Cricetulus griseus: one gene and its partner. The protein of the gene in region 1 interacts with the protein of each later gene in a biochemical or structural test. Links are inferred from orthologs where the notes say so. Each region holds a gene or a part of one and is shown on either strand. Other genes may lie near its edges.

Evidence for each region. The genes of interacting proteins can lie anywhere in the genome.
Region 2: the proteins of Acvr2a (region 1) and Synj2bp form a complex in vitro, tested with the Homo sapiens proteins (2 studies listed by BioGRID and IntAct, with this or other methods). The link is inferred for Cricetulus griseus from reciprocal best matches to the Homo sapiens genes ACVR2A and SYNJ2BP.

What each region holds. Positions count from the first base shown.
Region 1 is NC_048599.1:125,453,550-125,457,707, forward strand, and holds the start of Acvr2a (activin receptor type-2A), read right to left. Parts: upstream 2,801-4,158; 5' UTR 2,645-2,800; coding exon 2,590-2,644; intron 1-2,589. UniProt on the Homo sapiens protein: On ligand binding, forms a receptor complex consisting of two type II and two type I transmembrane serine/threonine kinases.
Region 2 is NC_048598.1:122,173,508-122,177,730, reverse strand, and holds the start of Synj2bp (synaptojanin-2-binding protein), read right to left. Parts: upstream 2,801-4,223; 5' UTR 2,676-2,800; coding exon 2,612-2,675; intron 1-2,611. UniProt on the Homo sapiens protein: Regulates endocytosis of activin type 2 receptor kinases through the Ral/RALBP1-dependent pathway and may be involved in suppression of activin-induced signal transduction.

The DNA.
Region 1 (4,158 bases):
TTGTGTTTTGAAACAGACTCTGAAGAAGGATAAAGAGGAATAAAAAAATTAAAAATCATAGAATCTGAAGACATTCCAGGATGAGGGCAAAATTTGAAATGTTTCTCCTGGAATGAGAGCAAGGAGGAAATTATACACTTGGCCATATCCTACAGGGATAGGCTGCATAATCAGTCTCCATAGCACATACCATGGGAAAGAAGCTGAAAAAAAAAAAAAAAAACCGAAGACCACAAAACACCACACACACACACACACACACACACACACACACACACACACACACACACACACACACACACACACACACACACACACACACACACACAGAGCAAGTATCTGTCTTTCCTGAACACCTAGAATAAACAAGTTACTACTGTTTCCGATTTGATGTTTTTTTAAAGTCAGCTACCCAGAAACAAACTGGTAATTTAGTAAATTACTTAATTCTAATAAAAATAGCCACCCTCTGTTTCCAGTGCCAGATTACACATTACACAGAGAAATCAATTAGAACACACACACACACACACACACACACACACACACACACACACACACTTTTTCAGAGTGCATTTAACATGTAACAAAGTCCTTTTTTAAAGAAATATCAGGCATTTTAAGCAAAAAAAAAAAAAGTATCAATATGGAGCATAGCTTTTCAAATTATTTCAATGGATTACCTATATTATGTTCTGTCACAACAAAACTCTATTTCAAAATTTTTGCTATTAACCTGCAAGCCCAGTGAAAATAATCATAAATTGAACTACTGCTCAATTCTTTTTACTCGAAAGTCAAGCAGAGGAAGCTGTAAGATCTGTAGTGTCAGTCTGCCTTTCCACAAGTGATACCTTGGGGTTGTTCAAGAATAACCTCCTTCATCAATTAATGAGACTCAGGTGGGTTTGGCAAAGAATAATGTCTACAATCCCTTGATCCATGGCCATGATGCCCCTCCTCCTCAAGGGCAGATTAGGAGAGAGAGAGAGAGAGAGAGAGAGAGAGAGAGAGAGAGAGAGAGAGAGAGAGAGAGAGAGAGAGAGATCTGAACAGGAGTTCACCAGCCAAACATATAGGGTCAGGGAGGAAAAAAAAAAAAAAGAAGAAGAGTACTATGAGAGAGAAAAACTACAGGGTTAAGTCATTTCACAAAAGCAAGATGTTTAACATTATCAGACACCATTGTTTAGCATGCTCTCCAAACCGAGCACAAAAAGAACTGTCCGCCTGCCTTAAGCATGTTCCTTCTTCCATTTAAACAGACATGATTCTTTTGGTTAATCTCTGGCAATGATCGCCATTTCACAACACATCCAGCCCACCCGGAACTGATCAATACCACTACAGACATAAGACTAGACTTTATCCATTTATTAACCACAAGGAAATGTACCATTCAGCAAAAATTCTATACATTACAAAAGATTCTATTAAAAGGGGGGTGGGGTAGGGAAGACGGACACACTCAACACACACACAACAGAGAGGTACACAAAGAAAAGACTACCACCTTCTAATTTCCCTATGACATAAGAGGTAACGACACAGCCATGAAACCTGTCAATTTGTCCCCCCACCCCTATTCTTTACCACAACCTAGCAAATATACATTGGATATTTATAGTGAATGCATTCATTGTGACTTTTAAACTGTTTCATTCCTCGAACTAACTCTCCTGTCAAGTGGATCTGCACACCTTTCAGCTAGATGTATGCATTTCCAAATTTCAAGTACAAAAGCCTAGCTTTTTCCAACCACTGGTTGCAACCATACAACGTCCTCACATAATCAAATTTTTGGATATAAAATGGCCAGAGTATTCTCCTAACCTTGAGCTAGAATACATCTCACAAGAACAGCATATTTTAACAGTGAGCACAATTTCACAAGCCCTGTTCTAAACTGAAAACAATGCGTCGGTACAAAGCGTTTAAAATAAGTAATCCGTAGGTAAGCAGAATCTACGCCTGAAAAGAGCACACAAATGGTGGGTGAAAGCCAGCATATACCACCAACACGCAGCAGCATACCTCTTCTGCACCGGGTTATGGTTAATACTCCGACAACTAAAACTATTTTTAACACTACTGGACAATGAAGTTGGAGAAGACGTGAGAGGAGACCTAGATTAAATTGCTGATAGGATGCATTGTTTCTCACAGTCAAAATTAAACACCAACTCGCTTGATCTATGTCTCGATATTCACCGGTGAAGCACTAATTAGATGACGACCAAAACCGGTCCTTGTTTTGGAACAGCTTAGGGCTAAATGACATTTCGGAATACTCCTTTTGGGTCTCAACCTTTACATAAATTTTCACTTGTGGTATTTGCGGCTTAACAGCAACCCAACCAGTGCTGTCATCGAGTGTTATGGCCACAAAACCATGACTTTCTCACTTCCACAACAACACAGCACTCAATCTATCAGTTCGCCAAACCAACCCAAAACAAGAGGAATTCATGGAGGTTTCCAGATTGTCAGGGCTGCGGGGTCGGGCGCGGGAAAGCCTCGGCCGCCCCAGAGCTGCCCAGCCGAGACCGCAGCCGGCCACAGCCCCGCCGCGCCGGCTCCTCCACCTACCTGAAGAGCAGGAGATAAGAAAGACGGCGAACGCCAACTTTGCAGCAGCTCCCATTTTCCCGAGGCGCCGGGGAAGCCGAAGGAAGTTCTCGCTAGATATCCAGTTCCCTGGGTCTTCCTCAGAGACAAACCTCCTGGTGTAAAATCAACCGTCATAAAACATATTCGGAAGCCCCAAGGCGGGGTGGGGGGGGTTGGTGGGGAGGTTGGATCAAAAACGTTCACGGGGTTGAAAAAAAAAAAAAAAGAGGCACAACAATTAAAAAAAAAAATGTACCACGGGGAAAAAACCGCCACACACACGCACAACACGAAACCAAACAACGAAAAGCCAACAACAACAAAAGCGGGTTGAAATCACTGTCAAAATCACTGTCAGCTCCTCTCGCCTCTAGCGTCTCTGCGAACAAAACGCCTAGCTGAGGCGACGAGGCGGCGGCGGCGGCGGCGCCTGCAGCCGCCCGGACGGTCCGGGAGCCGAGCTGCTCCGACGTCCGGACCGACCTTCAACCCGGACACCCAACGTCCGCGGACCACGGTAGCCGAGCTTGCGGCGGTGGCGGCGCGAGGCGGCGGTGGGAGACGGCGGCGGGAGACGGTGGTGCAGGAGGCGGCCAAGTTCTGGTCCAAGCTGTGGCTCCGGCTCCCGGCTCCCGGCTCGGCCGCGTTTTCGGTCTCCTGGCCTCCGCCAGCCCCGCCCCCTACACTTCCGGTTCCGGCCCGAAGCTGGAAGCCAGGCGCGGCGGAGAAACGCTCGGCGGCGGTGGCGGCGGGAGCGGCGGCAGGGCGCAGCGCGCGTGCCGGCGGCGAGCGCGAGGAGATTGCCCGGGAGGCGGGGCGAGCCGGAGGGGCGGGGCTGGAGCCGGAGCCCGAGCTGGAGCGCGCTCTGCGAGGCCTGCGGGACCGGAGACCGAGCTGCCGGGACGGCCGGCCCTGCTGGTCCCGACCGAGGCCCGAGGGCGCTCCTGTGCCCTCCTGGGCGCGATAGCCGTAGCGACCGAACGGGATGAGCGACGCCGAGGCCGACTGCGGCGCCCAGGCTTTCCTCTGGGGGACGCCGAGGCCGCGCCGAGCTGCTCCGAGTGGGCGGGAGCCGCACCCGCTGCTGCCCGAGCGAGCTAGGTGCTAGCGAGGCGGCCGCGCCCCGGCCACCACCGAGGCCTCCCAGCGTTTGTCTTTGGGCTACAAGAGAAAAAAAGCAGGAAGGGCTGTCCGCCAGGTCGGGACACCCTCGCCAGATAGCACGATGTACGTTTCGAATCCTTTCCACCATACCTTGTATACACAAAGCATTGTGTTGCAAACAGGTCTGCTCCTAATTGGTTTGAAAATCTTATTAGGCTTGAAGTGAAAACTGCACATTTCGATCCATGTATTAGACGGTCAGAGAAGTGGGCGTTATCAATTCTTAGCCTCTTGTGAGACCTCGTAAGACTTGTTTACAGGGTGCCCAGTTAATCACCGAAACAAATCCAAAATGTTAAAATGTGACCCCTTCCAACAGAAGCTCAGCTATTTGGGGATATTAGAAGTTAGTTATAGCGTGCCAAGAATGACTGATAGAGTCAA
Region 2 (4,223 bases), on another chromosome or scaffold:
GGGCACTTTCCCTAGCTCTAATGCTTGATGGAAATACTAAGAGTAGAAACTTTAGATCTGTAAGAAAATTGCTTAGAAATTAGACAATGCCCATTAAAATGCCCAGAGGTTCAAACAGTGATATTATGTTGAATTTAGTGCTTAAACAAGAATAATAATATCAGGAATCTGCTCTCATCGGAAGACCCTGGAAATACTGTAATACCACTGCAAAGAGACTATATCATTAGGTCCTTACCATTAGGCAAAAAACAACCTCAAACATCATAAAAAGTAGTATCATGCAAGTATATTTAAAGAACTAGATGTCATTATGTACTTGCAAAGCAATCAGAAAGGTGTATCTCAACTGATCCTAAGAAGAGAAGATGAAAAGTACACACAAAAAAATGGACTTTTATTTAAAGATCTGAGGCTGCTGAGTGAGATGGCTCAGTGGGCACAAGCACTTGCCACCAACTCTGACAACCTGAGTTCAATCCCTGGGACCCACATGATAGAAGGAAAAAACTGACTCCTGAAAGTTGTCCTCTGAGTTCTACAGGCCTCCTTGCCCCTCACACAAATAACTAAATAAATGCAATAAAAATTCAATTTCTACCATGCTAGCCTAAAAAGTAAATAAATATTGAGAGAATAGTTTTCTAAAATAGGACAAATTCAAACACTTGAGCATATTGAAAAGTCTTTGAGCAAAAGTTTTTGAGTTTATCTTAGGTTTTCTATTGCTATGACAAAACACTGTAACACAAGCAACTAAGGGATGAAGTGATTTATTTAATCTTACACTTTCAGGTAACATTCCATCATAAAGAGAACTCCATCAGGAGCCTGGACGTAGCAACTACAGTAGCGCTACTTACTGGCTTGCTCATCCTGCTTCCTTACAATCTAGGACCACGTGCCCAGGGTGGCACTGCCCACCGTGAGCTGATCATCAAACATCAATATCAATCAAGAAAATGCTCCACAGGCCTGCCTACGGGCAATCTGATAGAGGTATTTTCTCAATTGAGGTTCCTTTTCCCAGATAACTCTATCTTCTGCCAAGTTGACAAATGAAATAAAAAATAAAATCAACCAGCACTGAGCTTCTGTATAAACCACAAAGATTAGCAGTGTGTTACTCCCATAAATAAGACCAACTTCCAATTTTCTCCCAACAGGAAGACAAAAAGTATGACTAATTCTGAAAGTTGTGTTTTATACAGAACACTCTATCAGTAGTGATTAAGTTATTGCAAACTTCCAGATGAGAAAAGTTGACAGAATATTCTAAGTAGAATAAAAATCCACAGTAACCAATGATTTATTCAACTCTTGGAATACTGTATTTAGCAGAACTTACTGGGGTCAGTCTAACCATTCATTCACTAATGATAACAATAATAGCAAATACACATTGCTTACCATATGTCAAGACAATGTTCTAAATATTTCTCAGGGCGTAACTGGCTTCATCCTAACACTATATGTCAAACACAATGCACTTCATAACCATCTCCACTCTACAGACAAGAACCTATAGCATACATCAGTTAAATTACTCTGCCAATGAATTAAAACCAACCAGACAGACTGACAGACAAACTGGTAAGTTGTTAGATAAAAACTTGGCCATAAGTAGTTAACCCTAAACCTAAAAATAGTCCAAGGGAGACAACAGCACTATGTAGTCATGTTTAAAGGCCAGTCTGGCGCCGGGCGGTGGTGGCGCATGCCTTTAATCCCAGCACTCGGGAGGCAGAGGCAGGCGGATCTCTGTGAGTTCAAGGCCAGCCTGGTCTCCAGAGCGAGTGCTAGGATAGGTTCCAAAGCTACACAGAGAAACCCTGTCTCGAAAAACCAAAACAATAATAATAATAATAATAATAATAATAATAATAATAATAATAATAATAATGCCAGTCTGGCCATGAGCAGCGGTGAGGAAGACACAGCAGGGCTGAGTGGGAATTTTCCTGTCAGAATCACATTTAGTATTTAAAGAATTGTTTAATCCATACTGAATCCATATCCCTAAAAATGAAACTAGAAAATAGCCTTTTCGTTTTAATTCATTATAAAAAAAAATGTAAAAACAAAACAAGCCCAAGTAATTCTGGGGTGGCGCTAGGTCTGGAAACTTCTGTAGTGGGTATCCTCCTGCTTTAGCATTCCAGTTGACACTGTAAACTAATTTCCCAGAAATGCAGACAGGGACCCTAGCACCAGGGAAATTGCTATGCATTCAGAAAACCACGCCGTTTACCGCTCTCGTTTTTACCTGAACGGGCCCTCATATAAACAAGGATGATCCAGGCAACTGAATAACGGATGTGGCGTCCACTACAGGCTGTCTAAGCAGCGGCCGTTCGTCTAGACTTTTCTATTACTACCAGCAAACAGAAACCCTTCCTGGCCCTAAATGCCTGCGGCACTTTCCCTGGGTTGTGAGGCCGAGTCCCAGGGTCCGTTATCTAGCTAACAAAGGATGCCAATGGGCTCTTTCGTCGTGCCCGACGGCGTTCTTGGAAGCAACTTGGTCGGGCCGGCCTGCTCTCCAGCCAGTAAACCTGGCTCCGCAAAACCAACGAGCTCAGCAATGACTCCCTCCACGTCCCGCGCCTACCCGAGGGTCCTCTCGTCAGGTTGATCTCTTCCTCCGTAACTATATAATCCACCCGTCCGTTCATGTCTGACGGCTCACCGGGCGGAAGCCCGGGGTCAGCTGGAGCTCCGCGCAGGTGAAGGTGAATCAAGCTCCGCGCCGCGTCCCCAGCATAGCTTTTACAGTTTCCTAAGCCGCCGGACCGGAAGAGGAAACCGCGGGCACTGGGAGCGCCAAGGATGCTGGGAGTGGTGGTTCTCCGCGCCCACCAGCGTTTTCCGTTACCTCGCCCCATTCCCAAGGCAGATCCTGGGGTGCCATGAGTAAGGCACAATGCTCACCTACCTTGGGAAAGCATGTGGGAAGGAGGGCACGGAAAGAGGGTAATAAAGTTATGGTTCGTAATTAGATTGATACTGTTGATATTTTAAATAAAATCTCAAAATATCCACAAATGTAAAAAAAAAAAAAAAAAAAACAGGAGGATTTTATCTTATGAGCTTCAAACCATACTGGGAAAGGCATCACGGGCAAACTACTGGTGAGATTGCATATTTGGGCAGAAAGTTGTACCTTTTCCTTTTGTGTGACGTGGGTACAGCCCAATACATCCATGCCCCGTGTAAAAGAACTTGATAACACTGTGTCATGTTCATTCGCTGGCAGTTCACTCTGTGTTAATATAATTTATCTACAGGGGGAAAAAATACAACCTATCTCCCTCCCTCCCCCACCTCGTGTGTGTGTGTGTGTGTGTGTGTGTGTGTGTGTGTGTGTGTGTGTGTGTGTGTAGTGTTCACTGCTTAAAGCAAGGCACCTACACTGACACACATGACAGGAAACTGGAGCACCATACGACTGACAAGACACTTTGTTTAAAGTATTTGCTGCAATATATTCCTGGTTTGTGTCTTTAGCAGGCTTATCTAACTTAAGAAATGTGTATACATACAAAGATACAGAGAAGGGATTAATTAAATTATAGGCTTACTCAAGAAAAATACTCCAAAGCAGGGGTGGAGGGTGTGGAGGTGGGGGTGGAAATGTCATTTTTTTGACAAGATGATTGCAGGACTTAAGATGTGACATTCCTAGCCCTCTTGACTTTTGAAATAGGACATTCCAAACAGGTTGAAGGAATTTTCAAACATCAAAAGATAAAAAAAAAGCCTTAGGAACCAGGAAGGTGACCATAAATGTATATAGGGTGAAAAAAGGGATTGGTTACTGGAGATGTTAGAGAATTGAAGAGTGAATATCACCATAAAGGTATTCTACCTTACAGTTAAAAATCGAGCCAGCAACCACTGTTAATTAATCAAAACAAGTCAGAAGTGGATTCTATATGAATGAGACAGGATGGGAAGACAGGGAACCTATGAGACATGGGAGGGGCATCATCTCAGAGTCTGAGTAAAACCTCTTGCCAGATGAGCAAGGACTCTATCATAATTAACATTTGCTGCAAAGGCTACTGACATGTAATTAACATTTATTTTCTGCATAGATATTGTATGAAAAATTGGCAATGGCCTAAGCTTCAGATCTCAGTTTGTATGGCCCTGGGCAGGGCCTCATTTCTTTGTCTAGAAATTGCTTGAGAATCTCAAACCAAATGTAACTTTGTCTACAG